4 linked regions of the Struthio camelus genome follow. The protein of the gene in region 4 interacts with the protein of the main gene of each other region in a pairwise test. Links are inferred from orthologs where the notes say so. Each region holds a gene or a part of one and is shown on either strand. Other genes may lie near its edges. The genes, in order: ZCCHC10, MAB21L3, PPARA and STAC3.

Evidence for each region.
Region 1: the proteins of STAC3 (region 4) and ZCCHC10 interact in binary tests that used the Homo sapiens proteins (3 or more experiments, as listed by UniProt). The two-hybrid records come from large-scale screens. The link is inferred for Struthio camelus from reciprocal best matches to the Homo sapiens genes STAC3 and ZCCHC10.
Region 2: the proteins of STAC3 (region 4) and MAB21L3 interact in binary tests that used the Homo sapiens proteins (3 or more experiments, as listed by UniProt). The two-hybrid records come from large-scale screens. The link is inferred for Struthio camelus from reciprocal best matches to the Homo sapiens genes STAC3 and MAB21L3.
Region 3: the proteins of STAC3 (region 4) and PPARA interact in a two-hybrid assay, tested with the Homo sapiens proteins (2 studies listed by BioGRID). The two-hybrid records come from large-scale screens. The link is inferred for Struthio camelus from reciprocal best matches to the Homo sapiens genes STAC3 and PPARA.

What each region holds. Positions count from the first base shown.
Region 1 is NC_090954.1:2,126,068-2,133,541, forward strand, and holds the start of ZCCHC10 (zinc finger CCHC domain-containing protein 10), read left to right. Parts: upstream 1-4,407; 5' UTR 4,408-4,474; coding exon 4,475-4,620; intron 4,621-7,474.
Region 2 is NC_090942.1:93,554,553-93,562,145, forward strand, and holds the start of MAB21L3 (protein mab-21-like 3), read right to left. Parts: upstream 3,154-7,593; 5' UTR 1,133-3,153; coding exon 1,085-1,132; intron 1-1,084.
Region 3 is NC_090942.1:80,656,489-80,664,010, reverse strand, and holds the start of PPARA (peroxisome proliferator-activated receptor alpha), read right to left. Parts: upstream 3,366-7,522; 5' UTR 3,116-3,365; intron 2,919-3,115; exon of another isoform or gene 2,661-2,918; intron 2,568-2,660; exon of another isoform or gene 2,169-2,567; intron 2,085-2,168; exon of another isoform or gene 1,895-2,084; intron 1,682-1,894; exon of another isoform or gene 1,523-1,681; intron 1-1,522. UniProt on the Homo sapiens protein: Ligand-activated transcription factor. Key regulator of lipid metabolism. Activated by the endogenous ligand 1-palmitoyl-2-oleoyl-sn-glycerol-3-phosphocholine (16:0/18:1-GPC). Activated by oleylethanolamide, a naturally occurring lipid that regulates satiety.
Region 4 is NC_090969.1:146,996-155,091, reverse strand, and holds the start of STAC3 (SH3 and cysteine-rich domain-containing protein 3), read right to left. Parts: upstream 3,196-8,096; 5' UTR 3,116-3,195; intron 2,291-3,115; 5' UTR 2,290-2,290; coding exon 2,224-2,289; intron 1,820-2,223; coding exon 1,564-1,819; intron 1,439-1,563; coding exon 1,341-1,438; intron 1,181-1,340; coding exon 1,105-1,180; intron 1,012-1,104; coding exon 917-1,011; intron 834-916; coding exon 767-833; intron 546-766; coding exon 496-545; intron 410-495; coding exon 306-409; intron 1-305. Other genes in the region: R3HDM2 (R3H domain-containing protein 2), read right to left, coding at 4,631-4,974, 6,623-6,707, 7,233-7,333, 7,421-7,565, 7,750-7,919. UniProt on the Homo sapiens protein: Required for normal excitation-contraction coupling in skeletal muscle and for normal muscle contraction in response to membrane depolarization. Required for normal Ca(2+) release from the sarcplasmic reticulum, which ultimately leads to muscle contraction.

The sequences.
Region 1 (7,474 bases), on a different chromosome or scaffold from region 4:
AAAGCCTGGCATGTTCCTGACCTCCTAGGTGGACGGGACTTGATTCTGCTCTGATTTACACCCATGTATTATAACTGGAAGTGGGAAAGACATTACTGCAAGTCAAAGTGACAGAAAATAGAACAAAAGACCATCCCATACCTCAGTCTGTGTCTACATTGTGACTATTTAGAAAACCTTAGCCAAATTCAAAAGAATTGGCTTTTGAACTAAAACTAGTAACATGGAGCTTCGCGTGAGCTTGTTTTCTCTGCAAAGAAGCAAAGCAAACTAGTCAACACTGACGTACTACCTTAACGTATTACCTTGTGTAAACTCAAAGTTAGGGAAGGTACAACAGAGTAGAGGCAATATATTGCAGACAGGGTGTGATTCAAGTCTATTTACTGTATTCCTTATCACTGAGGTTTTTTTCTGCCCTACAGTCTTGCCTGAATAAGGACCTTCTGTGTTTCTCTCTCCCTCTCTCTGCCTTTTATTTTTTACTCATGCTGAAAATGCTAACAGTTCTATAAACAGGAATATGGTAATCAGTGTGAATGTCTTTTTAATATCTATGTCCGCTTTGGATTGTGCTTTAATTTCTAATTTTTTCAGGAAGGAATATGTGATATGACTGGCTTCTCTTTGGATATTTTCTTAAAGAGAGCTTGGGAGGAGAATACAGAATTTTAAAACGTCAAGTAACATTGTCTCTAGTGCTCCTGGTTTGTCATTATTTTCGTTCAGCATTAGCACTATTAACTACTTGACTGTTAGTCATTTTGGAAGATTCATCACAGTTTTGGGTAACCGGGATTAGAAGACAGCAGCCTTGGCAATGGAGGTTTAACCATTTATTCATGACATAAGCTCTTCCTAAGCCGTGGAAAGGGAGGTATGTTGGTTCTGACTACATTTCTCCTGTTCGGTGTACAGTCCCTGAACAACTAACGTGACACCTTTTCTTCATAAGCAGTACGTTTGCACAGAAAAGTGCTGGGGTGAAACCGTAGCGTAAACAGTCTCTCTGATGGGCTGACACACAGCGGCTCAAAGTCTGTGTCACTGAAGCTTCAATGCTTTCCCCAGATTTGTCTCCTGTGTCGTCTGTGTACCTCCTCCCTCTGCTGTGTAGAGCGGGGCACATTTTGGAAAGTAATTTCCTTGCCCAGCATATTTAGAAACAGGTTAATGATACTGCAACTTTAAATAGCAACCTAATGTGCAAAGGCAGGATTTATGGGCACAGTCAGTTCATTGAGTAGCAGCAGCTCCCCTGAACCGTCCCCAGCCCTTGCGAGTGAGCCCAGGGCTGTGCAGTGACTCTGCACATTCAGTCTGGAGGGCGCTTGAAGTCACCTTCTCTGGTATGTTAATCAGTGCCCTGGTGAATTACCTCTGAACGGAAAGAGAGGCTGTGAGATCCTGTTTTGGGTTCAAAAAAGTCTGCAGTAACCTGCAGACTTTGTAGTCACAAGAATACTTTCACATTGCCTCAGGTAGAAATATTTTAAGTGGATTGTTTTAATAAAAGTTATATCTTTGAAGTCTCTGTATAAGGAAAAGCCTATCTACTCTATGGAGAATTTTTTGCTTCTGAAGTCAGAAACCTTGTTATACTGGCAAATTTAGGGAAATTTAGCTCTGCTGCATTAACACACAGGTACTAGGGACAATCTAAATGGTATTAAGTATAACATAGATGTTGTTATCAGTTTATAATTTACTCTAAGATTTTAAGTGATACTCAGGTAAAAAAAGGATCAACAGACAGGAATTTATTATAAAGCATAGATTATTATAAATACCTACTCTCAGCTATTTCGCTTTTCTGAGAACATGTCTTAGAACAGTCCTAAAACAGGAAATTCTTCTGTCTTACTTTCTCCAATAAAAGTGAGATGCCAGACATCAAGATTCAAATACTGCAGCCAAACTCTATGCTGCGGAGAACAATCATTTATAACATGCCAGGTATCACACATCAGAATTTAGCTAAGCTGTCAGATATGACTAATCACAGGTTATCACAGAGAATCATCAGAAACAGGACGATGATTAGATACCAGACAAAGTGCCAGATATAGAAGAAAATAGGATGCACAGAGTAACAGCCACTAACCTAAGACATTACAATTACAGTGTTTGGGGACAGGAACTACCATAATACTCAACAATTAGTCACACAGTAATTAGTTCTGGTGAGTTGAAGTCATTTACATCTAACAGAATCCCTCAGTAAAGATACTTACCTTTCCAGTGAGATATTTAATTGATGCCATTGAACTCAGCAGATGTTGTTGTTACCATCGCTGTGATTACCAGTATTACGTGTGACACGCAGCAGGAAGTTCTGGCTCTAGTATCTCCTGGCTGTGTCCTGATCTTGCACCATCAGAAGTGTAGGACCTCTCTGCCTCATGCCTGCTAATTCAAATAAGACCTGGGATACTCATCATGTTAAAGCATCAGATTTATCAGAAAAGTAGTAGCTTATAAATGTTGTGTTACCTGAAAGAATGATGCAGAAGCATATTGATTGTTGGTGGAACACTGTACAGGAGCGAAAACATAGCACAATCTTATTGCTATATTAAATATGACAGATAAATATATTTTTTCTTATATGTCTGTGACTTACTTTAAAATATAAACTTATATAGGCATGTGTTCTCACTTCTGTTACATTCCTATTTTCCCTCCCCACAAATTCTGTTGTGCAATGTTCCCACCCTTCTACCTTGACTTGAGATAAGCGTAAGCTTTTCTGAGCAAGGGCTGTCTTTTATTGTATTTCTACAGTTCCTAACAGAGTATGGTCCTGATCCAACTGGTACAGTTGGATTCTAATTAACTTAAGAAAATATAATGCATGTTTTTGTATTATATATTAAATGAATGCCACCGACTCACAGGAAGCACACTTTAAAAAGCTACATAGCTGATAATAAACCACTATAAATTGGTAGCAGTCCATAAATTTCAGCAAATGTAAAAGCCCAGTGGAACAGCTGTTTAACTAATGTCAGTCATCCATATGATATGATAGTGCTGAATGAATACTGAAAACGGCTAGATATGATGTGCTTCCAGGATACTAATGTTAGGAGAAATCCCAGCTCAGCATTAAAAAATCTGTTTCCTTGAGGATTTTTGTAATGCAGATCCATATATTATTTTAACACTGATCTCATGAGACAACGATAAGTTTCGATACAGCAATTAAGAGGCAAATATATTAAACCAAATTCCCTGCTTCCCTGAATTTAGGATAAGGGCTGCTCTACCTGGGCCAGCTGGCAAAGACTCCCACGGGGCTGCCTGCCAGCTCTGCACAGTCAGAAAGCTCAGCCACTGCTCTTCTTTTCTTCTGTCCCTTGACCTCTCCTCCTATGCCAGAGGCTGTAAGGAGGTGACGTAGGAGCCAAAAATAACAGCTGCTGTTGGCACAGCTGGGGGACTTCACCCTCTTGGGCTGAGTGGGGTGGAGGAAAGACATTTGCCTTATGATTCCTAGATATATCTGAACTGTATTTACCGTCAAACACAGAACACATTGACTCATGCAGGGTCAACATGACTTATCAGCATCTCCAGTCTCTGAAAAGTGATTCGTATTTAATGTATTATTGAGCCATGGTTATGCATCCACGTGTGTAGCAGAATTAATCTTTTCAGTTATTCTGAGACGTTCTTTTTCTATCAGTGCAGGGTATAGAAACCTGAGCTGCTACAAATGAATGTGCTGGTAAACGCTTGCAACGTTTTAGCAGTACTAATTGGTTAAACTGCTCCTTTCTGAGATCTAGCTCTTGCGAACGTTTCTTGGGCTCCTTCATGGTATAACCAGAGAGCTATTACGCTTTCAAACTTTTCACGTACCTAAAGGTTCTTGGGAACTCATAGCAGGCTACCTTTAGGTGTGCTGGACTGCTTATGTGAAGGAAGAAAAGTAAAATTGCCCAACTCTTGCAACAACAGACGGGCCAGCTCAGTGGCTCAAGAAATTTTTCAGCGGCACCATGTCACCGGCTCTGTGGTTAGCGTTAGGTGACGGGATGGCATCAGGGGCTCTGCGGTGGTGCTGGGTGACGGGATGGGGTCGCAGGCTCTACAGGCTCTGTGTGTTGGTGCTGGGTGACGGGACGGCGCCAGGGGCTCTGTGTTGGTGCTGGGTGACAGGATGGGGTCGCAGGCTCTGCAGCTGGTGCCCTCCGGTCATAGTGAGGGATGGGTTGTCTGCTGCTGGGTTTAGATATTTCAAATACACCCATCCTAAGAAAAAGAAAAGCTATTAACTGGGAGGCAGGTTCCTGGGGGCGATGAAGGGTGGAAGATGGCGGCGAGGCCCCGAGGCGGCGGTTGGCCGGGGCCGCCGGGGCCGGCACTTCCGGCATCCCGCGGGCACCATGACAACGCGGGAGGAGACGAGACGAGCGGAGCGGCGGTCCTCGCGGTGCGTCCTCTCTGGCCGCGGGATGCCTCGCTCTCCATGGCAGCGACGCCGTCCTACCCAATAGGGAGGGAGGAGGAGGAGGAGGCAGTGGCCCGGCATGCAGCGCGGCAGCCCGCCTCACTTCCCGCCCGGGCCGCTAAGATGGCGACTCCCATGCACCGACTCATCGCTCGGAGACAGGCGTGAGTGCGGCGGGCGGCCGAGAGGCGCCCCGAGGCGGGGGAGCGGCCGAGGGGCGGCTGCGGAGCCGGGGCGGGGGCTCTGGCCGTGGGTTCCCCGAGCGGGGGCCTCCCCTGCCCTCCCCCCGGCTGTGGGGCCCCCCGGCTCTCTTTTGGGGCAGTTTCGTGCAGAGCAGACGCCCTTCACGGGTGCCCCGCTGTTGGCAGCGTGGTGCTGCGGGTGGGTAAGGGAAACGCTCCCAAGTGAGGCTTGGCTCATCCTGTTAACCGGGCTGAGACTCTCTTCGTTTCGGAGCTGACAGGGTTAAGACCGTATATGGTGTTTTGGGCTCCCTGAACCTGAAGGGTCCCGTGTTTTTTGTAAGAGTTGCGGAATTAGTGATTTCTGGCTCCATCTTGCGCAAGGTGGAGGCTTTAGAGGGACTTGAGATAGCAAACATAAGCTTATGTTTGCTTTCTTGTTTAAAAACAAAACAAAAAACCAAAAATTGTGTGTGTCCTCTGCAGCAGAGTGCAGGAGGTTTTCTCCCTCTGTTGTAGGGAGTTATGGTGATTTAAAGAATTAATAAAATCATTACAGTGAAATGATCAAAAATGAAAGCAGGATTCCTGAAAAGGAAAGGCAATCTCCCCATTGACTAAAACTTTCCCTTTCGTTGCTGTTAACGCCAGTTAGCAACTATTTGGGAAAAGGCTGCCTTATGGGTTTAGCATGTCGTCCCTTTCAGTGAAGCGTATAAGACCTTGTGATGCAGGTAGGCACAGGTCTTATCGTGTCACTCTTGTCAGTCAGGTGTGGGGGGGACCAAATAATTTCTGGCTTCACATTATAATATGTTTAGTAAATTACTAAAAAAAAAACCCGGGGTGGGGAGGGGAGAAAGCAAGCACCCTTTACTCAGTTATGCTTATTGCTTTTGGGTGATTCTCTAAATATCGGGGAGATCTGATTGCCAAATGCTGAAATGAGGAAAAGCCAATGTTTTTTGATTACTGACATTAAGTAAAGCAGATGCCTGTGTTCTACTGCCGTGTTTTGAGTTTTTGGGTTTTTAGGGAGGGGGTTTGTTCTTAGGGATTTTTTTGGCTGATCATAGCATTAGAAACAATATGGATGGTTTTTGCTGCCTCTTTACTTTTTCATTAGCTAGTATAATTCGTTTCTTACTTTCCAATGGAAAATATACTTGGAATGTCAAAGTACTTGCAGAATACTTGTTTTTTTTAAGTTGCTATTTTATATTGGTCATAGAATGATTTCTTAGTGCGTGTTATTTCTCCATGTGCTTGATGAGAATTGCTGAGTTGTACGTCTGCCAAGACTTGCTTCTAGGTTGTGATAATTGATCTGTGTGAAAAGTTTGTTTTAGTCTTGAGCTTTTAATTACTGTTAAAACTTGTCAGTGTTGACACTGTCTTTACAAATCTGTAGTTCTTGAGCTATTTTGATCTGTTCTTCCTAATTATTAATAATTAATAAGTAATTATTACTTCCTGTAATTGCTTATTATATTGCTTTTAGGATTTTATCTTAACATTTTAGTTTGCATAGAATTGTCTACATCGGTCAGGTGAATAGCATTAAAGCCTTGGAAATGCTGAATTATATTATTGTTGCTTTGACTGCCCATTCTGTTCCTATGGTCTGGGCTGGCCTGAGATACAAAGCAACAAAACGTAAATGTTTTTCTATCTTGATTAAGAGGATGAGAGAGTTCTCGTTCTGCTCATGTGTAATGACTGCATCAGAGTCAGAAGTCCAAGGCAAGAATTACACCGGACGCTTTCCTAGTAAAGAAATAAGTTACCGGTTTTGTCCCAGTTTTCTTTGCAGTGGTTTAATACTAGCAAAAATCAAAATGTAAATGTAGTTTGTGTGTTTAAAAAAGTTTTTGTTGCAGTAGTTCACTTGTATTTGTCTTCTCAGTGTAAACTTTCCTACATGCTAAAGCTTGCTGCGTTCTTGTGTGAATGAATAATAGGTATATAAAAACAGTAACATGTTTTGAGCATACCTGACGAAGTGAAACATCGTGTTTCTGTCCTTAGTGTTAGGGTACAGCCTTAAACCTACCTGAATGTTATTTGGAAAGGAAAAGAAAAAGGGATGATTTTTGTGTGTGTGTGTGTGTATGAAACTTAAATCAATTTCCCTGCAGCACATGTGGTATACTTCATTTATTTTAAGAGCAGGCCCACAACTAAACATTTTTTAATTTTATGAAGCCTTTCAAAGCACCTGTTACATTATTTGTACTTTAACCTCTTCTTTCAAGGGTGCTGGAGTGTGAGGTGGTTAATGTTTGGGCATCCTTAGATGCACCCGGAGGAGCGCTGCTCATCAGCAGCAGTGTTTTAAGTATAGTTTGTAACCATTCAGGAATATTTTGCTTATGTTTGTCTAAGTACCACACTTACAGTCTGTTGCTTATCCCTTTGCTATCTAGAACCTCACTTGTTCTACAGTTTTATTTGTTGATTGAAATGAGCTAAAGTTCTGGTCTTTAAAAACCTTTTCTGTGTTTGTTTTTTGTTTAACATAAACAAGTGGACTTATGGTCTAAATGAGGTACTATTTTGTTTAAGGCAAAGTGCATCTTGCACAGTGTGACGGTTATTCAGATACTCTTTTGCAGGCATTCAGAAGAGTTTTGTGTATTGTTCAAGATGTCTTTTAGGACACAGGAAGAAGATGGAACTTAAACCATTCACAAGACCTTGTGTGTGGGTTTTGTTTTTGTTTTTTCCCCTCAGGACTAAAAGTGTTGTTTCCTGTTGAAGTCAGAGTTAATTGTGCAGAGTTGATTGCAAGTTTAATTAGTTCTTTAGTCCTGATTTACATCAATGTTTCTAAGGC
Region 2 (7,593 bases), on a different chromosome or scaffold from region 4:
CCTCACTTAACTATACTCTGTCTCTGTTCCCTGTACTTATGGCAGTCATATGAACATCCTCCTGTGCATGGCTTCCCTCTGATCCCTCCTTTGTAGCCCTGCTTTATAAATCTTCAGATAAGTGTTCGCTCTTGTAGCTGGCTGACTAGGTTCTGATGGCATGATCTTCCACGGGAAAATACACGGCTGAAAATGAAGGTTTTTACAGAAATACACCTACTTGTAACCAAAACATTTCCACAGACAAACTAAAGCTTTGCCCCGAGCGCCTTCATGATACTGGAATATGTTATCCTTTTCAGAAAATAAAGCTTTATAGTTTTTCATTTTGAAATGGTTTTTCACTTCACTGTCTTGCATTTTGTAGGGGAAAACAGACTATCAAACAGAAACCAGCTAAACACTGTGATGAACTATATCAGCTTTAACAAAATAAAATATTACAACTCATTCTGAATAACTTTTAGTAAAAAGAATAGTTTCACTGATGATTTTTATTTTACCTAATTTCATAGTGGAAAAAACATTAGATTGCTGGAACACTTCATAAAATAGAAAATGTGGTTCCCACTTGCCTCCACTAATGAGACTTAAGCTATTTTAGTGCTGGTATATAAAGAAGTATCCTTAGCTGAGGTGATAGACTGGTGGGTGAATTCTGTGTCCGTCTCAGCCGCGTTCCTACCTGCATCTTTCTTAGAGGCAATCCCTGTTGTTGCAGTTTTGGTCTCGTCTGTATCAAGCTAAGACCATTGGACAGGGAAGGGAGTAAGGACCATACCTTAGATTAAGACTTTGCAATTATAGCTAGTTTCACATCTAGATTTCAAGATGGGGAGCAAAAACTCAAGATGTGAAGAAAAACAGGACAACCACCTTAAGAAGTTAGATTATCAGCTGAGATCCCTGGCAACATTCTGCAGTGGAAACCTAGAAATCTCACTAGAAATACAATTCTCATGAAATTTCACCCAGTCTCATCTCATAAAGGAAAACAGCAGGCAAGCAACTAACTCTTGAGATTAGCACCCTTCAGAATCAACACCTAGCGTGGGAGATAAAATCTGGACAGATAAAGCCTTACCTTGCTTTGGATGTAAATTTCTACTTCTTCATCTGTGAATGGTTTCATGGCAAGATTGTCTTCGCTGTTCTCTAAAGTGTGAATTCACTCCTCACTCATTCGCCTGGCTCTGGAAGTAGAGGGACATTCAGAGCTTGCTGCTCAGAGCCTTCTTGCCCTGTGAAGCTCACGTCACTTAATTCCTCTGTGAATGAAGAAGAGGAGAGAAAAGCAAGGAAATATGCCTATTTTCTTCTGGTTGGAGTTATAGTGGTGACTTCCAGCTGCCTAGGAAAACTAGGTCCAAATATTATTTGTTAAGCTCAATCATTATTATTCTTATTATCACTACTTTTAAATGCTGGGACTTACAGGAACTTACAAAAATAGCCCAGTTACTGTTTTGTCTCTGGGCAGATCTAGAAGCGTGTTTCAGAGTCACTACGCTCGTGCGCAGCATTATTATTCTGTGTGCCACAAGTACTTCCCTGCTCTCTCTAGCCTTTTACTAAACCATTTGTTAAATACTCAGCTACCCCTTGTTGACTTCAATCCACCCACTTTCCTTTTGAAACCGCATGGGTATTTTTACACTCAGATCACTTATTTGGGTTGCAGTCTGCAGTCTCTGCTCCTGTCTCCTTATATCTCCTCTCTCTCTCCAACTGTATTGACAGTAAATATCTTGCAGCCTGTCCCCTCCTGTAGTTTGCTTTGCTCCCTTTACAGTAAACAGACAGAAAACTGTCGCTAGTTAGCTGCCAGCAGCTCAGCTAACAACCCCACATGCATCATTCAGAGGGAAAAACAATTGATCAGGCCTCATTGATCCAACGAGGGTTGGTGGATTTTAGAAGAAAGGATACATCAGCACATGGAAAGGAGTGACAGAGTATAGAGACGATATTCTATACTGCAAAGCAGCCCTTGCTAGGGACATGCCATATTTTAGTAAATAGGCACATGCCATATTTTAGTAAAATCATTATTTCCCCCTGGAAGTTGAACTCACTGATATCCCTTGACTGATTCATTAGCTCTACAGCAGCTGAAAAAAACAGCACTTGGGTAGGCACTGGGTGCTATCTCAGAGCAGGCTCTTTGCTGCTGGTCATTCTTTATGACTGTTGTTCCTTATTAATAGTGAAATGCTACCTACATCAATGGTGCACCAGTACCTGCAGGACATCCGATCCCCCAGAATCTACAAATCAAACCTTTCTCCGTGTCTCCCAGGGCATCTTCCATTGTCTTTTTCCTGAGAGATTTGGTGACAGGTTCACAAAGACTTGTAGGGATTTCCTTCCAACCACCTTCCACGGGAGTTGGACACTGAAAAAGATTAGGCCTCCAATTTTCAGGGTCCCTACCCCATCCTTGTTCACTTCACGACTTACCTTCCACCTTATCTTTCACCTGAACATTTAGCAGCGTACGTGACCTTTGCTGGGGAAGCCAGGCTAGTGGCAGGATCTGAGAGACAGTGCATGGAACAGTAGATTAGGAAGGATTTGTAAAGCCAGGTTGCATGGGATTAACCCCAAATAGAGTGTGCAAGGGAGGAGAAGGAGCCTTTTAAGTGGTCAAGCTCAGTTAAAAGTATGCCCTTATTACATTAATTCCCATGCGCCCCCTCAGGCTGCTAGATTTACATACAGAAGTCAAGTTCCTTAATGTTTCTGGTACCATACACTACTTTAAAACCCAGAACCTCAGATGAGTGTTAGGAAGCGGGGAGAGGTTAAGATTCTCAGTTTCTTGCACCTATATGGTCTCTTCTTCTGACAGCTGTCCAAAGCCTCAGGTGCTGGCAGACACATGAAGAAGCAGCTCTGGTCATTTTGCTTGTACACAGTAAGATACTTGATCTTTATCATCCTTTTCCATTGGGAAACATATCTCCAGGAGGGTCTGGATGGTCCCAGCTCCCCTTCCCATAGTGAAGGAGGATGGCATTAGGTCTTGGGCAAGGTTTGTTTCGTTTTTTTTAATGTCCAAGCATATTTAAATCCAAGTCCAAATTTATGTTCAAATCCAAGGACCTGAGCAACAGTCCCACAGTCCCTCCCTGCTCCTGCTATCTCATGAGAGTAAATAACGTTCCCTTAAGATCATTGCAAAAGAAGAGAAGGGGGAGAAGGCTGAGAAAAAAGAAACATGAAAGACAGTATCAAAGATAGTGTCAATAGCAGGTTCTTCTCAACTCTGAGCACTCCTTGCTCCAGCCATAAGAAACTGCTACTTCATAATTTGTTCAGCTCTAAATAAATAAATAAATAGAAAGAAAGACAGACAGACAGACAGACAGACAGTCTGTTACAAGAACTGGCTGCAGAAGATTGTAGCAGATGGCAGCTGAATAACCTGCACTGAGTCCCTGTGGATTTTATCATGCTACTCCTAGGATCAGAAGATTACTGTTTGACAGACAGAAAATACTACATCCAGCAAAGGCCCTTACACCAACAGCAAAATACAGTACAAATTAGAATGGCAAAAGCTGCTACTGCAAAGGGAAAAGCAGCTTGGTGTTACGGGAGACAGCACCCCATCTTGACCTCACTGAGGAATAAACACATCACAAGGGCCTTCATCTGTTACATGAGCACCACATAGCACAAAACACAGGAGAAAAGAAGAGGAAGACCGCCACGTGGGAAGGGAATATTAAGGTAGGAAAAAAACTGTATCAGGAGAAAGGGAGAAAGGACAGTGCAGAGAGAGAAACTTCTGCAGAGATTAAAGGGCATAGACCCAAAGCATGAAGAAGCCAAGCTTCTCCAGTATCATTTGCAGAACCATTTCCAGGGTCACTGCACTGAAACCTTCATCTATCTTCAGTCAGCAATCATGGCTTTTTCAGTTCGCCCCACTCAAGGCTCAGGATATCCAGGATTTTTTTCCATTAACCACTAAAACTGCAAGAACAAACCCATGCTCCAGGTCCTCCTCAGGGAGCTTCTCTCCTGACGGTGCTTATGCAAGAAAACGGTAGGAAACTACGTAGGAAAATTAGTCAACTATATTACATCCCTCCTTTGTTTTATTTCAGTGCGTCAGTGCCCAGCTCATAGTACCTCTAATGGAGTTTAATTTGTGACTACTTTCCTTTGTACCTAGTGAAGTCTGAGGATTTATTTAGTTTTCTCAGTTGCTCACTGGTATTCTTCAAAGCGGGTTTAAGGATTTCCTATTACCTCCAACTTCACTGAATCTGTGATATTTCATCTTCATTCTTGTCTTGGGCAATATCCAGAACTGAATATGATTGTGGATCTGGGAAATCCACAGAAAAATATTCTGTGAATACATACCTTGAACAGTGTTAGATTCACTCTTGTATCTCCTGAAACTGCAAATTACTGATGCTTTCCATGCTTGTCTGATTTTCCTCTTTTCACTGTTTAGTTTCATAAATATGACAAATATGCCTCAAACCTACAATCAAATATCATCTGAACTCTGAACTGCACAACAAAAAGCCATCAACATCATGTAAATAATAGCAGAAGTATCAGCTGTACGGGGAAGTCCAATACTGTGGCATTTTCTGTTTGACAGCTATCTGGAAAAACCACTCATATGGAACAGTAAGCACGTATTAAAAAGCCTCTCCTAAATCATACAAATGAACCAGTCCAATGTACCACTTGTGGCTCACAGAGGATCTGCAGGGTAACAAATAAGCCCAGTTGAAGATGCTGCCTTCCAGATGAAATACAACTCTTAATTTGCAGTTGCTAATGATGCCTCATCACTTTTTGCTCTAATTACCAGAAGCATTAAGTCTAAGGCTATTAAGGCACTGGCTGAAGCTGTACTTGGCGCATGAGAGACTACCAAAACAAATCAGTCCAGTAGATCTAATAATCCCTGACAGTCCTCTTGCTTTCTTAAACTGCTGCCCCATTTCTCCCCATTAGTGGATTAAGTGACTGTACAAAATAAGTAAGTGTAGCTTGGATCCTCTATAACATTTATGCTCTAATGGTTTTTAGCAGTGACGCTTCGGTATTGTTCAGAGTCACCATTCAGAGGACACTAGCATAACATAATCAGGGCTTTCTGGGGCACAAGTTCTGTGAGTTTGTTTTTTCACTTTGTCTTTTAACAAATAGATATGGCAAAGAGGATGTTTCAATGACAAAAGCCTGGGATGGACTAGAGGGGAAGTGCTGCTAATTCACTGTGACAGATCAGAATCACGCGTGGATGCCAAATTGAAATGCTCTACTCATTCCTGAACCTCACTGATCGATACTTGGCGGGCTCAAAAATGCCTGCACTGCTTGTTCTCATTGCCACACAGTCTCACACTAGCCTTGGGCCTGCAGTTCACATCAAGTAAATAAAAGGTTTATAACCTTTCCAAACTAAGCAAACCATTGACTGCATTGGATCAGGTCCAGTGGTTTATCAAGACTGGCATCTTTTCTCCATTCACTGGCCAGAACAGACATGTCAGAAAAAAAGCAACTAGCTTTTGCTGGAAAAGGAGTTATCTCAACTTGGGAAGAGTTTTGAAATTCCCATCAAAATAATTTACAACCTGAATCTTTTCAGGCAGCAATTTGGCACTTTCAGAGAAAGTATTCGCTCCAGGATCGCTAGCAGAGGATGCAGGAAATTCTGAAAACTAACTGAGATTATGATGCTGTTGCCCACCACTGACCAGCCTCAACTGGCAAATTCACAAGAATCCAGTCAGTTGTGCAGCTGCCGTTATGAAGCAGGCCACAGAGTAGCAAACATAAAACATATACCAGTGCTTCCTAGCACTTATTGCTAAGGTCTTTGGCACCCAGTGTGGTGAGCTACTCAAGAAGCCTAGAATTTTCCAAGTCCATAATGGTCAGCGCAGTGGATGGCACAGGGGCCAGGAACCTAGGAGTCTTGGCAGCATCAGCTGCCAAGGTCACTCGCCTGACATGCTGAGCAGGAAAATCGACATTTTAAATTCTAAACCCATTTGCAGTCCTCTGGAAGTTTATTGAAACAGGGCAAGTTTGGTGCATCAGCAAGATTTAAACCAAATATTTCACCAGACTGTTTCCAAGCATCTGCAAATGATATTTTTCTCTATCACTGCTTTTTCTCTTAACTACACATTCATCAAGAGCATATATGGGAGAGGTAAGAGTCTTCACAAGGTTCTGGGTCCTTGTGGCTCTGGAGTGCAATAGACCCAGAGCCACTGAGATAAATATTAATATTACTATCAATTAAGTTACTTGGTGCTTTAAAATTTCAGTTACCTTGTATGGGCCGATCTACTGTAAAAGCTGTCAGACTAAACTTCTTGGCTTGTGCCATCTCACACACACAGCCAATAGATATCAAACATACAGCTAATCAGTAGTCCCAATCAGACCCCTAATCAGATACTGAATTGCGTTTTGAGGAATGTGAAACACCTAACAAAAACACAAAGAGATATTTTAATTGATTGACAAGGGACATGTGAAGTCTCAGCAGCGTTCAATACTAGAGAATTACTACAGATAATTCCCCTTATTCTTGGCTAGCACCAACCAAGAGGCTGAAGTTGATGCAGATTTCTAAACACTTACATAGTAGGGCATGTTTAAAACCCCATGTTTAAGCTCAAAGGAGGGAAAGAAAAAACAACACTGTTCATGCAATTGCTTTGGGCAGTACGGGGTCAGGTGTTTCTTTCTTGTGGGATGCCAAGGGCTGCTACCCCAAAGGGATAACAGCAAGAGAAGGGAGGCATGGCAGATGGTAAGCAGAGCATGGTACATTTTAGTTAATACTCAGCAGAGCAGAGTAACAGGCCAAGCAGGAGATTACACAGGAAGACTCCTCTAGGTTCACATGCACCCAGAGGCACAGCTTTCTATGACTTCTTTTTTGTTATCATCTCCAGCATCATTAACAGTGAAGTCTCTTCAGAGCTTCACCTGGATTTATGGGTGCTTAGCCTGAAGGGGCAGGAAGTAGTGTTACTGGGGAGATACAAGCTGTTAATTGGCTGCAGGTTTAAGGCTCTGAAACTGCTAAAAGAGAAGAGATGGAGGTGCTTAAGTATGGGGCAGCAGGGAGGTGCAAGAGGGCAGCTTGATGGCCGTATGGCACAAAACTTGTCTGAAGGGTGAAGGGGAGCGAGTAACAACAGATGGTGATAATTTAGAACAATTTTACCCTGCCTGAGCTAACTGGACAGTGAGGATAGGATAGACAGGAGAAGATGGAAACAGGTTAAAGAAAGGTTTTGTCAGCATACCGTTAGCAATGGCTCCTGTAACCAGGTGCATGGCAATCGCATGTTTCAGATGGGGAAAAGGGAGGGGAGGAGAGAATCATTAAGAGACTATACAGTGAAGGGCCTTGCGGGTAGGCCTGAGGGAAATAGTTGCAATGAGGTAAAAATACAATATAGACAAGAATGCGAACATCCACAGAAGTGGGAAAAGAGACACTCATTAGAAGACACACAGGCAACAAAGCAGATCAAGAGATTCAGCAGACACCAAGCGGAGTGAGTGAGAACCTGCCTCATCTGAGAGCAA
Region 3 (7,522 bases), on a different chromosome or scaffold from region 4:
AAAAAGAAAAAGGTTCTCCTTGACCCCTTGACCACCCCAGATCAACAGTGAGCACTATAATCCATTTTCTGGAACAAGATGAATATCTTAGGCCATGTGTCCTACACTGCTGTAGGATATTACCATCTTCTGTAATATTTTAAAATATTTTAAATATTGAATTTTTAAATATGTTGTAATATTTAAAACATAACCATACAAAATCACAACTGCAATGCAACGACTTTTTCCATGGTTAAAAATTCACTATTCCCTTTGAGGGGATTGCATTTTTGAGGGATAAAAACAGAAAAAAAGATGACAGCAAAGAAATACTGAAATGCAAGGGAGAAAAATACAAGTTTTCATGACGTACAAGATCATAATAGGTAATCAAAACTCCCTAGGCCACTTGATTATAGAGGATGAGATTCAATATAAAGCATCAGGAGATTGATAAGAACTTTTTTTTGGACGATGTCAAGTGCTCCTTCCATACACGGAAAAAGAAAAAGAGCCTGCTGTCTACACAGTTCTACAAACGTCTGATAAGGTCAGTTCACACACTCATCCTTCCGAAATACATTGTGCTACTTAAATCCAAAAAGTTGCCATTAAAAGTAACTAGCAGCCAAAGGCTGTTTGATAGCTCACGGGAAATAACAAAATTATGATACTGGTTTAGCTCTGAGTGGACTTGTGACCACATCACAGGAACCACCACTGCTGTCAGTTTCAGTATGAGAGCAGGTATCCTCAGTATTAACATAGCGGTTCAAAATTTGAAAAGGATTGACTTTGCTGCCTGGAAAAAAAAAGCAAGTTTCAGCCCGATATTTAGTGTTAGATACTTATAAGAAAGTTTGTTCGTGTTCTACAATACAAGAACAGGTTGATGAAACCTTTGCTTCCCAGCAAAACTTATGCAACTTCTTCATGTGTGCAGTACTTCTATGACATCCAATGCCACAGAAGTGTCAGACATCATTATTTCAAATAATCCTGTCCTCACACATCTTCCATTTGAGAGCTTAGAAATAGCTACTCACACCAGTGAGATGGGGCTAATCTTAATATGAATAGACAAGGCCATTTCCAACTTAAAAACAAGACCTTTTAACACTTCTTTCCATTTCTATGTGAATGCTATCTTTTCCACTCTTTCAGAAAACAAGTGGACAGGCCTATAGGGACAATCAAGAACACGTTTTTCTTGTCAAACCACAAAAACAAATCTAGGGGGAGCTGCCACTGACCCACTCCTCCGTCCAAGGATAAATCCGGCCAATTGCATGGTAAAAGCACAACCTGTCTGAAGGATAACCTCCAAACACCTTATCTTCCATCCGGCGCATATGTTGCTTTCTCAAACTAGGTAAGGACAATTTATATGTGCTGTGTTCAGGAGATACTGCAACAGCAAAAAAGCACTTTTTAAAAGACAGGACTTCTCTTTCTCTCCCTCTCTCTCTTCCCCTTCCCCCAACACCCTGAAGTCTCCCCATAAAGTTTCCCAGATTGCTCTTTAGCCATAAACACTAACCTCTGCCAGGGCTGGTTCCTGCTGGTTCTTTAACCCCTGTGACCTCGGGGCGCCTCCCACCGCGGCTCCCCACACAGGCAAAGCGGAGGCGTGAAGCCCGAGCGCAGCAACAGTAATGGCTAAAGCATCTCCCCAAACCAGCTAACTCTCTCTCCTCGCCTTTGCCACCGCCGCCACCACGGGTTTGCAGAACGTTTCAAAACACAACGACCAAAAAAAAAAAAGGGGGGGGGGAGGGAAGGAAGACCAAGTCGTTAGCTCAACTGCCGCCGTTTTAGCGAGACAGAGACCCCGCTCCCACTGCCCGTGCCCCCTCCCCGCCGAAGCCCAAGCGAGGGACGCAGGCAGGCTCTGCGCTGCCGACGCTAATACCGTGCATTACTGCCGGCCGGCGGGCAGGCGGCTCGGCGCTGCTGCCCGCAGACGCCGGCGGCCCATGAGCGGAGCGGGGCAGGGCAGGGCCAGGCCGGGTCGGGTCGGCGCCGCCGCGTCCCCGGCCGCAATCCGCCGCGGGAGGCGCGCAGGGCTCGGCTCGGCTCGGCTCGCCCGCGCCAACCGCCGCGGCCAGCGCGGGCGCACCCCCTCGCCGCCGGCGGCCGCCCAGCGCGCACACCCCAACGGGGCAGGGAGGGGGGGGCAGAAGTACCCCAATCCCGAGTCTGACTGACGCGGGGCGGCAGGGTGACAGGTACCGGAAGTGAGGTCGCGGCACACACCTCCCACAATGGCCGCCTGCTATTGGCTCCGCGGGGAGAAACCTGTGGAGGGGGGAGGAGGGCGGAGGCCTCCGCGCGCCCCCCGCACCCCACCCCCCGCCGCCGTGACCCCCCACCCCCCACCCCGCGGGAGACTCACCCGGCGATGAGCTGAAACCAAAAAACGAAGAAATAAGAGGGAAAAGCCCAACGGGAAAACGCGCCCGGGGCAGCCCGGCGGGTACGGTCCCGTGCCGCCCTCGCCGCCAGCGCACCGCGGTCGCCCGCGGTAACGGCCGCCCGCGCCGCCCCTCAGGGCCCCGGCGGCGACGCTCACCGCCCCCCGGAGCGCGGGGCGGGGGGAGGAGGGGGGAAGCCGAGCCCGGCCCGCCCGCAAGCTTCGGTCAAGGGCAAAGAAAACGCGAGAGAGTCAAGAGACAAACCGGCGCTGGCTGAGCGGGCGAAGGCATCTGCCCGGGAACAAAGTCTGGGCTGGCTCTGCCTGCCTCTTATCCGCCCGCCGAGCTATTTGCGGAGCGCGGCGGCCAGGTCGCGGCGCTCACGTGAAGGAGCGGCGCACGCAGCGCTGCCCGGTCACACGCAGAGGTAGCGGGGCCGGGGCCGGGGCCGGCGCCTCATCCCCGGTCACGCGTGAGGCGAGCGCCCAGCGCCTGCCCGCCGGTCCCCTCCCTCCTCCCCCCACCCCTCCGCCGCCACGCCGCGCGCTGGCCCCGGCGGCCGTTGGTCCCCGGCGGCCGTTGGTCCCCGCCGCGCAGCGGGCGCTCGCGGGGGACGGGGGCTCCCCAGGGCTCACCGCCCCGGCACGGCTCGGCCCGCCGCGGGCCGGCAGGGCGCTGACATTGCCCGGGCACCTATGTGTTTTTTTTTTTTTAAAAACCTGTGGCGCGGGAGGGTCCGCTGTTGGTGGGGAGGTCGAGCCGCCGACCCAGCTCCGTCCCGAGTCCGGGCCGCTTGCACTGGAAAAGCTGGGGCTCGCCTTTGATGCGGAGCACCGTCAGGAAACGGGGTACCACCGGGTTGGGTGTGCTGCCTGGGGCACAGCAGCAGCGGCCCGGGCGGCTCGGCGTTACAGGCTGACAGGGCGGCCCACTCCAGCGGCATCCTCCTGACCCACGCGCCGGATGGAGGCTGCTGGCTACCTGCAGCTGTTTTTTTTTTTTTTAAGGGGTATTATTTAGTTTAGAAAGTTATTACAGGGAACAGCTACCAAAAAACAAACACACACACACACACACACACAAAACCCCTAGAAAACAACACACACACCCACAAAACACAAAATCCTCCACAAAACACAAAATCCTGAAGAAAAATTGTCTGTACATGACTGATTTCTTCAGTCTCTCAGGGACTGAAGGTCTTCAAAAGGCACCCAAAAGTATAAATACATTGTTTTTAAAAGATAATCCTTTTTTTTCTTTCTTTTTAACAGAAATTTCTACTCTTTGACTGCTTCATGGATATCACATTTCTTGATTATCCTCCTGGCCATCATCAATTTTTTAATTGCATTTTTACTTTTATTTTATCATTCCATTTGAAAGAAAAGGCACCTTATTGTTGACTAGATCAGTCTTTACGTGGATGCCAATACGAGAAAACATGACCTATTTCAGATGTTTCTGATATGAACCTCTTCTATGCCTAGCAAGCCTACACACATAGGTTTTGCTTATTTTTACCCTTTCACAGAATCATAGTTTGTGGCCATTCAGAAGGGAGACACATAGGACCAGAAAGGAAGAAAAGGAAACTCTGTCCTGGAAACTCAGTCTGTACTACTGCAAGCATCATATTTAATTCCATAAATTTCTCAACCTTGAGCTCAAACACACAGATCTGCACATTAGAGCGTTCAATGTAGAATCATCAGTAATGACAGAAGATGAAAAACATCCAGAAAGCATATCTCAGTATAGATCAATAAAACATAGTATCAACAGCAGAAAATAGAAGCTAACGAAAGCCCTTATTTACAGTAATTCAAGTTTCTTTCCAAAATATTTCAAAATGCTATATTGGCTCTGGTAACAAGCTGACTTCTACTGATTAGTAGTGCTGCTCCAATTTCTACCCCAAGGCAGGCCAACACCCAATGCCACAAGCATTCAGCTGCTTTAAAAAGTTAACGTCCAAGTTTACACCTACATATCCCACCCCACAGACGATGTGTAATACAGCTCAGCCAGCAACAAGGATCAGGGCCTATTTCCATAAAAGATGTTATCCGAGCAGGTGTGCTTTTCATTCCGTTCGGTTTTATTTCTTTTCTTGTTTTTATTTTATTTTTCCTGAAAATATACACAAACAGAAAGAATACAGTTAAAAAACATATATATAATGTTTTAATTTGCATGTGTAATCAGCCCTTAAAGATGTTTCCCCCTTGCTTTGTCAAGGAAGCTGTGGAGAGCACAAACACTTTCCTTTGATTTCCGTATTGAACTTTTGGACGAGATTTAGGTGGTCATTTTGCATACATACTTCTACTGTTGTTACCAAAGATGGCATTGTACGAACACTATAGTGAAATTCCCGGGCGGGGGGACCCCCCCCCCCCCCCACACACACACACTTAGCAAGGTTGTGGGCTTTTGCCATTGGAAGTTACAAATTTGAGAGATCTACCACGGTCGGGACTTAGTCATTTCTAGTGAGAACACCTCCACACTGTGGGCTTTTTCCTAGCTAAAGAGATCAGCTCTCTTTTTGAGGCTCAAATAGACATTTCATATACCTCGCCCAGGGTCACACAGTAACACTAAATTAACCCAAAATGCAGTAAAAATACAAAAATAATTTTTTGTGATTTAGAATGAGTTGTGGGCTGTTTCCTGTTTATAAGCTATAGATTACCCATCCCACACTACCTGATAACCAGACTCTTAACAACCTATGTCTCCAGCAGAATCAGCTAAGGTGACTGTGTTATCCAAGACCTGGAGAGGAAGTTTGTTAAGTCCTATTTTGGAACTGTTTTCTCTTAAACAAGTTACATAAATTTTGTCCATAAATATGGCTGGTGTTGCAGAAAATACCTATAATAAAGATGGAAAACTTATCTCACATTTAACAGCTTTAGTCAAGAGACCATACTGAATCCTTTTGTACATAAAGCCCTTTTAAAATGTAGATTATTGATTTGATTGCATAAATTCATATCACAGTTCAGATCTTAATAACACACTAAGTATCATAAACATCCATTAGCTATTTAAATGTGCCAACTTTTAGAAATCTGAAATTAGGTTGCTTACTAGGCTTTTAGATGAAATAAGCTTTAATTAGTGTTCTATTCTGTTAATATGCACTAATCATATTAATATTGCTTAATAGATTGACAGTTGTGAAACAGGCAGACAGACTTATGCAGTAGCTGATTTTCCATCTTTCCAGTATCCAGCTGGTTTTGTCATAGATCTTAACAGTGACAAGTAGCATTTCTGTAATAAAATGGGGTGGGGTTTTTTTTTTGCAAGTTTTAATCAAAATATACTGAATATTGTAACATTTATGACTGTAGAAGTAGATTAACAGTTCAATTCAGGACAAGGCACAAACTCATTCATAAGTTTGGAAAATGGACTATAACAGCAAAAATTCGCTATGCTTTCACCACCTCCTCCAACTACTGGCAAAATGCAGGAAGTGGGCTGACCCTGCGTTCAAATATTTGCTGTGGTTTCTCCTGCTGATCTGATGATAGGAATTTTAACAGACAATGTGCCTCATTTTTGCTGTGTCATCATGAAGGACCTTCCTAACAAAGTCATTATTTTAAGTAAAATAGATCCTTCCCATATAAGTATATACTTCAGCAGCAACTGTAGAGACCAGACATAGTACCCAGCATTTTATAAGCTGAAATGCCATATATTTGGTCCTGTTTCTCTTTTTTTGACTGCTGAAGTTTTAATGAACTGACATTTATTTACTGAAGTAAAATTACTTTAATTTTATCACATTCTTATTCTTCAAAGAATTTAAGTGGCCAGACTGTCACAACAGAACAAGTTTTATGAATAGACGTCATTAACGGAAGCATATAGAAAACACCAGAGCGTTATTTAAGACTTTTTGTGCATGCTGAATCCTGCACATTTGTGATTGGTCAAAATAATTTGAATTCAAAGGCTCCAGGTAATAATGAACGGAAGTAGATTATATTTGATTTATTTCAGTTAATATGTGAGTTACTTGCAAACACAGTATTTTTTATTGTTGTTTTTGTTATTACTGTTAAAAAAATAGCTCTCCCTCTCCAAATCAACCCCCTTAAAAACACCCAGACTGGTGAAGCAGAGGAGACCGGTGAGATCTATGTACCCTGACCCTCCTTTATGCCTACAGTTCAGTCCTTGTGTAGCAGCAGTTTTCTTCGGGAAACTCCTGCACTGCTTCATTTTGTTGTTCTGGAGCAAGCTGGCTTTAAGGTTTGGTTTTAGGTACATGTCTCTATGTTGGATTAGACCAAAGTTCTAAGACTAAGAGTGATAAATGAAAACATTTTAAGATAAATTAGATCAGGCTCATCTGCCTCATTTCGACATGACAGGTTATGGATAGAACCAGGATTCAGGTTATACATTTACACAAGTCTATTTTGCCACAAAATTATCTCAATATCAGATTTTTTTTAAATCTATGTCAAGATTTCATTTTCCATCAAAATAAGTGATTAAAGTCGTTACTTGTATTTCACTTTCATAAGAGATGTTTACCATGCCATTTCATCAGTGTAAGATATGGATTCAATCATTCAGATCATTTTTATCCATCAGAAATATCCTGTCTGGAAATGGCATTACTCATTACTCTCTACTTACTAGAGAAATAACTCATTATCTGTCAGAGTATCAAGATCAAACATTCCAGATGTCAATCCCCCTCTTCCTGTGGCAAGAAGAGTAAGAACAGTTGTATATAAGATGATGGTGCTTTAAACTTATCAATTAACCCTTCATAGCCCACAATGTGTAGAATTTCTCTGATAACTTATATGCTTTTTATGCTGGTACATTGGCAGCAATGATGAGAACTGTTAGATTAAATTTTTCTTAATGTGATCAGGCTCTCCACCCATCATTACATCTTTTTCACTTCTCCATTTCAATTAAAAAGTATTCTTCTAAGGAAAAACTGCTACTGGTGAACAAGCACCTTTCTTACACTGATCGAGGAAGTACACATTGAGAGTAAATTAAAGGAGATGGAGAAAACAGTACCCCCTCCACACTCTTTCTGAAGGCGAGCCCACACTTGAACCTTCTGCAGGACATCAAGG
Region 4 (8,096 bases):
TGAGCAGCTTGGCCTCAGCTTGGGGTGCAAGAAATCGGCAGTGCCACGTAAAACAGCAGTAGCCTCGGAAATGCGGTTTGTGCACAAAGGCTGGAAGCTGGGGAGGAAGGTGGCTCGGCCAGAGCCAGGGCTCGTTGTCTCTGCACGGCTAATCGGGGCAGAAAAGCCACAAACCCCAAACCGCAGCCAGCACTGCTGATTTCTGCCCTTGTTCGTTCACAGCACCCTCTGGGCCCGAGGGCCTTGCTGAGGTGAAGACTTACCCCCCTCCCCAGCGCACGCCCCCGTCCTGGCTGGGAACTCACGGGAAATCCAGGTCGTCTTTCTCCAGGGCTTTGAAGCGATAAAGCGCCACGAAGTAGTGAGACTGCAGATAGCCGCTGCGCATCCCCTGCTGTGGCTTCTTGTTCTGGGGGGCAGGAGAGAGGGGCTCAGAGGCTGGGGGGCCGGGGGTAGCCCGGGCACCGTTGGGTACGGGGTGAGGAAGAGGGCTACCTTGTCATCTGCTGTGCTCTTCTCCGCCTTCTTGTCCCCTTCGGAGGTGCCTGAAAACAGGAGAAAAAGGGTCACCTCTCTTGTGCTGCTCTTCCCCACCGCAGCACCAGCCTGCCCTTGGGGACCTCCCGTGCCTGCAGAGAGCCCTGGGGCGAGACCTGGACTTAGGGCCCCTCTTCGGGGTGAAGCCCACCCCAGTGGGCTCCCCGTCCCGCACCCTCGGGGGGAGCACAGCCCTGCAGCCCCAGCCCTGCCTGCTCGCAGCACTCACCGCCCTCGCTTTTGCCCCCAGCTGCCTTCATGGCCTCGGGTTCCTCATCCATCATAGCTGCCAGCGGCTGCAAGGCAGAGAGCAGTCAGGGGCTGAGGGGTGGGCAGGCGCCCAGGCCGGCTCAGAGTAACAGGCCCACCCTGCACTCACGTTTTTCTTGTCGTCTTGCCCTTTCTTGCGCTCTTTGTTGGCCATGATGACGCCCGTCCGGAGGGTCTCAAACACTGGGTCGCTCCTGTTGGCTGCTGCTGGGGCACAGATGGAGTGAGAGGGGCTCAGTGAGGGGGTGTGGGGAGATTCCCCCCACCGCCCGCCCCAGGCATGAAGTCAGTACTTACAGAGCAGCTCCTTGACGCAGGCATACTGCTGGTCGCTATACAGGGGCGAGCTGTATGCTCGGCGAAAGCCTGGTGGCTGCAAGGAGGAGGAGGAGGGGGTCAGAGCACAGCCTGCCACTGGCGAGCTAAGGGGGCAATGGGTGGGCGCGAAGGACCTGGAGGGCAGATGCCCAGCTGGTGGTGCTGCCCCCGGGTCCTTCCCACAGGGCCGGGACCGCACCGGCATGAGCACTCACGATTTTGCCAAAGCAGCGTTGCATCTCCACGTAGGACTGGCAGTGGTGGTGAATATTGGTTTTGCAGTTCTTGCACCTCAGGCCAAATTTGTTGTTGACTGGTGGGTGGAGGGGGGGGAGAGAGATGATGTGACCCCAGGGCTGCAGGCGTGGCAGGGCTGGAGCCCTGGCCCAGCCCTGGCCCCCAGCCTGTGGCCCCAAGCCCAGTGCCCCCGCGACTCACGGACAATCATGCGGGCACAAACGTCACAGAACTTGGGCTTTTTGAAGTAATGATCCTTGAACTTGTGGGGTTTGTCATTGACAAGTTTCTGGGGCTCGGGAGGAGGCTCGGGCTCCTCCTCCTCTTCCTCCTCCTCGTCCTCATAGATGTAGTAGATGGGCCTCCCGGAGGGGCTGACCAGCTCCCCATTCGGCTGTGGCTCCGGTGCCGTCTCCTCCTTGGGCTTTCGCCGGAAAAGTTGCTTCAGCTTCTGCAGCTGCTGGAGCAGGAGAGGCTGCAGGGCGCACTGCAGGCGCAGGGGGCGAGGAAAACAGGAAGGAGCCGGTGCCCAGCTCCCAGCCCCTTTGCTCTGACCTACAACCTCCCTCACCAGGTGGGGGGAGAACCCAGATGTCCTGGGTGCAGTGTGGTGGGCACAGGGACCCTCTCTCTGCCTAGTGGGGTCCCCCCACAAGGGGCAGGTTGCAAGTCCTGGGCACCACATGGATGTAGGCACCTTGGGGCAAAGCTAGGCTGGGCAATGCCCATATAGTGCTCCACTCAAGCAGATACCACCAGGGCACCCCTGGCCCCACAGAGGGTCCTGGGCCTGAGGCAGAGACCATGTGGGGAAGGTGGATTCCCCCTCTCACCCAAGCTGATCTGCAGGCATCCACTTACCCGGCTCTTGGGTTTCCCACCTGAGGCAGATGAAGCTGGTGGCTCTGGCACCTCCTTCTCTGTCATGCTACAAGGGGAAGACAAAGACATCGTCTCGACTGGGGCTGCCCCCACTGCAGAGCCTCAGCCAGGGCAGCAGCGGCCTGTGGCCTCGGCAGCCCCCGGGGATCAGACCTGGCTGGATGGAAAGCAGTTCCCGGGCCAGTGCCTCCCTCTGCCCTACTTGCACCCAGCTCCCTGCTGCCCTGCCCCAGCACCGGCCCAGACCACTGCCGGGGGGCTGCCGGGCTTGGCCCCTCAGGAGGCTGCCCAGCCCTGCTGCAGGGGCTGTGCACGTGGTGGGCTCTGCTCCCGGCCCAGCACCACAGCGCTGCTCCTCACCGTCCCTGCTGCTTCGCGGATGTGGCTGCCAGCAGCCCCTGAGCTACCTGCATGTGCCCGTCTCTGCCCAGACACCTCCGTCTCGAGATTAAACGGCAAATGGTGCCACACTTGGCTGGCCAGAACAAGAGTACCCATGGCGCTGTCTGGCACCAGGGCACAGCCCTGCCTTTTCTTCCATGGAAACCCAGTGCTACCAAGGGAGCAGATCTGCTCCTGCACCCCCAAAACCCACCTGACGCCACCTTTGTCTGTCGACCATCCTCAGAGCCCTTCCACCCAGGCGTCACTATTTTTGGTGCTACCGTTAACACAAGACCCCCGTCCTCCCTGGAAAGCGACAGGACAAGCATGCAGGAGACAGCGGGGGGGGGGGGCTGGGGACTCCTGGGGCCACAGGCTCGGCAGGGAGGTCTGGGGGGTCCGGGGTCCAGCAGTGGCGCAGGGGCCCAGCAGGGTCAGTGGCTGCTGGGTAAGGGGAGCCACACGCGGAGCCGCGCTTTGCACTTACACCACGTTCAGAGCTTGCGTCCCGTGATGAAACACCGCGCAAAGCTGGTGGCGGGCTTGCTGCCGGGGGGCTGGCGCCGAGGCCCCTTGGGCCACAGAGCCCCCAGCCCCAGGGCCGGGTGTGCAGGGAGGGGGCAGCTGCCCAGCGCTGCGGAGCACCCGAGTGACAGGCCAGAGGGGAACCGACAGCTGAGCGCTGGCGGAGGCTGACACCGAGAAATTGGAGCCCGTGCGCGAGCCGGGAGGGGAGCGGGGTGGAGAGGAGCTGCTGGCTATTTGCGTTAGTGGGTTGCTGGGCGTCACAGCGACCCTCCCACCCCTGGCATGGGGCAGCAGCAGCGCGGGGGCATGCTGAGCGCTCCAGCCTTGCTGTCCTGTTTGCCCTCGCATTGGAGGCCACTGCAGGCGGGAAGGAAGAGGTGCCGCCAAGGGTCCCGCGCTCAACGCTCACCAGCTCAACGCTCACCGCTGCCCCACAGGAAGCAGCCACTGAGGAGCGAGCTGGGGACCCGACCCCTACTGTGCTGCCCCGCAGCAGGGGCTGGATCCCAGGAGCTGGGTGGGCCCCCAGTGCCAGAGCCCCTGGAGCTATGTCCCTGCCTGGCTGTGGGTGGCAGAGGGGCAGGGTTTGCACCAAGGCCCCCCACACCCTCCAAGCAGCTCTTACCTCTCCCCCTGCACCCATGCTCCAAGGTTGGCTCTGGACACCGCAGGAAGCTCCAAGGGCTGCCGCATGCAACGCCATGGCGAGGCTGGTGCCAGCCCAACTCCTGTACCCCTGCGGTAGGAGGACACCTAGCAGCTCAAGGGCAGCTCCCCTTCACCCAGGAGAAATGTGTTCACCCTGGCAGGGAACGTAGCTGGGGGCATACCCTCCTTGCCATCGCAGGCAGCCCGGGGCCGGCAGCTGGGAAGAAGAGGCTATGAACATCTGAAGGGTGACCAGCCCCAGCTCAAAATGCTCCGTGCTCCTCTCCCAGCCTCCGCAGAGCAACGAGGACGCACCCTCTGCGTATGCTGGGGTGGAGCAGGCCCCGTGCCGGGACGCACTCCTGTGTATGCCCTGACTGCCATCTCACCCTGAGGAAGGGGACAGGACAGGCCCTGCTGCCAGCCTGCACCGAGCGCTGGCGCCAGCAGAGAACGGGAAAGCAGCATTAAAGTGACGGACAAGTTTTCTTTTTATATTTAAAAACACCCCCCCCTCAAATAAAACAAAAACAAAAAAAAAACCCCAAATAATAATCAGATTAAATAAAATGTGCAGTGAACATACCAATCAACACCTGTATGTGCGGTTCAACACAGTGCTTAACAAAACAATATACACAGGGTAGGGTGGGCGGGCATGGGCATCACTCCAAAAATTAAAAAAAAAAATCAATTTCTTGTCTCTTAATTATGTCCATATAAATATATCCAGGAAGGAGGGTGAGAGGAAGGGAGGGCAGAAAGGAAGAGAGAAGGCAGAGGGAAGCGCCCGCAGTCCAGTGTGCTCTGTGCCCATACATGAGCCCTACTGCGAGCTGGCACGCTCCAGCACCCGCAAGTCGTAGTTCTTTTTGGCCACACGCAGCTTGAAGCGGCTGAGGGAGTTGTTGAGGCGGAGGGAGGCGTTCTGGGCGGCCAGCGGGCTGGGGAACACGGCCACAATGGTGTATAAGGCAGCAAGGTCAGTGTGCCTGCCGTTCTCTGGAGTCCCGTTGTTGTCCCCACCGCCCCCATCTCCACGCCGCCCCTGAGTCTCTTTGAGCCACTGGATTTTGGCACCAGCCATGGCGAGCTGGGTAAAGAGCTTGTCAGCCTCTGTCCGCGTGATGCCCTCGGGCAGGTCCGTCACCTCCAGCACTCGGCCAAGAACTGCAGTGGAAAGATAGCATGTGTTGGCCACAGGACCTCGGGTGGTGACAGCATGGTGGGAGCTGATGTCCGGTTTCCTCACCAGCTCTGGGATGGGAGCAGTCATCTCTACTTGGCCCATGAAAGCAGAGCTTTGCTAAGCTGGTCCCACATCAGGGATATTTCTTCTAATTAGTCACTTCTTCCCCTTCAAACTGCCCCCATCTTCCTGGTCCCTACAGTGCCTGTCCCAATCATTTCTGATACTCCCACCCTGGTCCCCATGTGCCCCGCTTCAAGAGGAGACAGATATTTTCTGTTTGCCCAAGGCTCTAGCAGCACCAAGCCCTCCTTGATCCCTTTGATTGGGCTTGGCTTTCCAGTTAGGGCTTTCCCGGGTGCTCTCTCCTGCTTTCTTATCCTAATCCTGGGTACCAGGAGGGGACCTAACCCAGCACTGCTGCCCTCTGCCCCCAGGCAGGCTACCCCAGGGATGGCAGTTGCACGCTGAATGTGACCTTTCCCTGTGTGCTTTGTCACGAGGAGGATCCCTTCCTGCGCCCAGGCCAGTGTCACGTCAACCTCTGTGCCTCTGCTCTGTGGTACCCAAACACCCCTGCTGCCTCCTGGCTCCAGCTCTTTGGGGCTTCACTCCAGCTTTGGGGCTTAGCAGAGGCCTGGCTAAACGGATTCTTTGCTAATATTAACACGGCATGTAACAAACATGCCAGCTGCTTCCCTGTGGCAGGGAGGGGGCCAGCTCGCCGGGAAGCAACTCTTAAAGGGCCCCCTGCAAACAGCTGCCGTTGGTGGTGGTGACACAGAGGTGACATGGGAGACAACAACTCTGAAGCCTCCAGAGAGCCAAGGAAGACTGTCTCTCTTCCAGCCTGTCGGGCTCATGCCCAATTAGCGGGTCCTGCATTTGCTGCGGGGAATAGCCAGTCCTGTGCCTCTCCTCCCCTCCCTGACACGAGCAAGAGGAGACTCCTGCCCTGAGGAGAGGAACAGGGGGAGTCCTTCCTCCTTGGAGAGAAACAATCCACTGGGGATTTCAGCCCGGCAGCTGCCCATGGAAGATCCCAAAGCCCCACAAATATGGGGACTGTGCAACACCTACCCCCACTGGGAAACTGAGGCATGAAAGAGAAGGGTCACTTAGGAAGTCAACGGTAGGAATAAGATCTCATGGGCCTGGACAGTCGCTTTCTGCTGACAACTAGGAAAAGCTGCCAGGAGTTCTGCCTGCCAGCCCCACCTGCTCCACACCCTGCCAGACTTCAGGCCTCACAGAGGTAGGAATAGGGCCCAGGTGTCCTGGTGCTCATCACTGACTCCCCAGAAATATCTCCCCACTCTTCCTCAAAAGCTTTGGTCAGTGCAGGCAGCATCTAACCGGGTTCCTCAGCTGCCCTCCCACGGGGTACAGCTCACCAGGACTGGCTCTGCGCCCACCCCCCCAGCCAGGCCTTGCATGGGCTCCGGGGGTATTTCGGGGGAGCGGGGCAGAGGGCAGGAACGGTCCTCCACAACCACCCCCAGCAATGGATCCTGGGGGATGTCAGTGTGAGCAGAGAGGGGACCGGAGTCTCTGCCAGTGCCAGCTGCACCTGTGCAGCAGGGACTTGGCGGAGGGCAATGGGGGAGCTGCTGGAGGAGGATCACTTGCCTACATCACTTGTCCCAAGATCAGTGGATGCCGACTTGAGGGCTTGTCTCTTGCCCCGATTTCCATGTTTCATTCCAGTCTGTCCCTTAAAGAGTAAAAATGGTAACATGTCACCTGAGGGGACACTGTGGCGTCACAGTGCCGACAGAGCATCCTGGGAGGGGCAGACAAGACCAAACATGATGAGGCCACAGCTGTGAAGGGGAATGGAGACATTGGATGATCCTTGCACTCCCGGCACTTTTGGGATGATGCCATGGTGGCTTGGGGAGGTTGGATGAGACCAGGGCACAGGCATGGTTCCAGGACACTCAAAGGACCTGGGGCTGACATCGCTCCTGGGCAAAGCTGGGAGCAGGGTGAAATTTCAGCACAGTGTCAGGCTCCAGGGAAAACTGTTTATGATGGCAGCCCTGCTGTATGGCTGGTAACAGCATGGGGCAGGCAACCTGCTACCCAATCCAGGGGCACCCGAGCGCAAGGTGGGATGTCAGGCTCACTTCTGAACTACCCTGCTCAGCCCTGGGCTCTGCCCAGAGAGGGGTGCTCTGGGGGTCTTGGTCTGCTCCCAGGACAGGAAGAGAGGGGTGGGGGTCTGGCCCAACCTTACCTGGTGTGCACTGTAGTTAGGCTGGTTGTGGAGCAGGGGCGGGGGACAGATAGACAGATTATATTGCAGCGGCTGGCCCAGCAACGAGTAGCGCCCATCACCTGCAAAATAGAAGCAAACATTTGTAGGGGGCTAAGGGAGCCACAGGAAAGACCCAGCCCTGTGCTGTTCCCACGCCTTCCCCTTACCTTGTGCCGGGCCCATGGGCCGGGGGAACTGTGTGAGGACCGGGAGGGGGCTCAGCCCTGTGCAGACACTGTTGAGGCTGGTGACAGGAGACGGCGTCGGGGATTGGGTGGGGGACGTGATGGGGCTGTTCAACTGGGCGCTGGCCTGGGGGAGGGAGAGGGTTAGACACCCCCAGTGCTTGTTACCGGCCCCATGCCTGTCTCACCACCATGGGTTGAGCCCACCCCCTTCTCCCAGCCCATCCAGACAGTGTGGATGCGGGGGACCTCTTTCTCCCACCAGGCTGCTCCTAAAAGATGAGCTGCCTTCTTCCCAGTCCTCTCAATACCTGAGCACTGGTGTCTGGGTTGTACAGGTCTCCTGGCTTCTGCCCCCGCTGGTCCAGGCTGTAGTACTTACAGTGGCTCCACTGCACCACGGGGGGGTTCTGGGGGGGCTGGGGGCCATTGGGTACATTCAGCTGCATCACAACCACACCAGGGCCTGATGGAGACACCCCTGGGGGGAGAGAACAGCAACAGTAATGCCCAGGCTCTGTGTACTACTGCTGCTGCTTGCTGTGGAAGAAGAGTACTCAGGTGGGGTGAAGAGAGGCTCTACCAAGGCCCTGCAGAAAGAGAACCCTCTCTGATACTACAGCTTACATCAGGGAATGATGACTTTTAATCCAGAAAA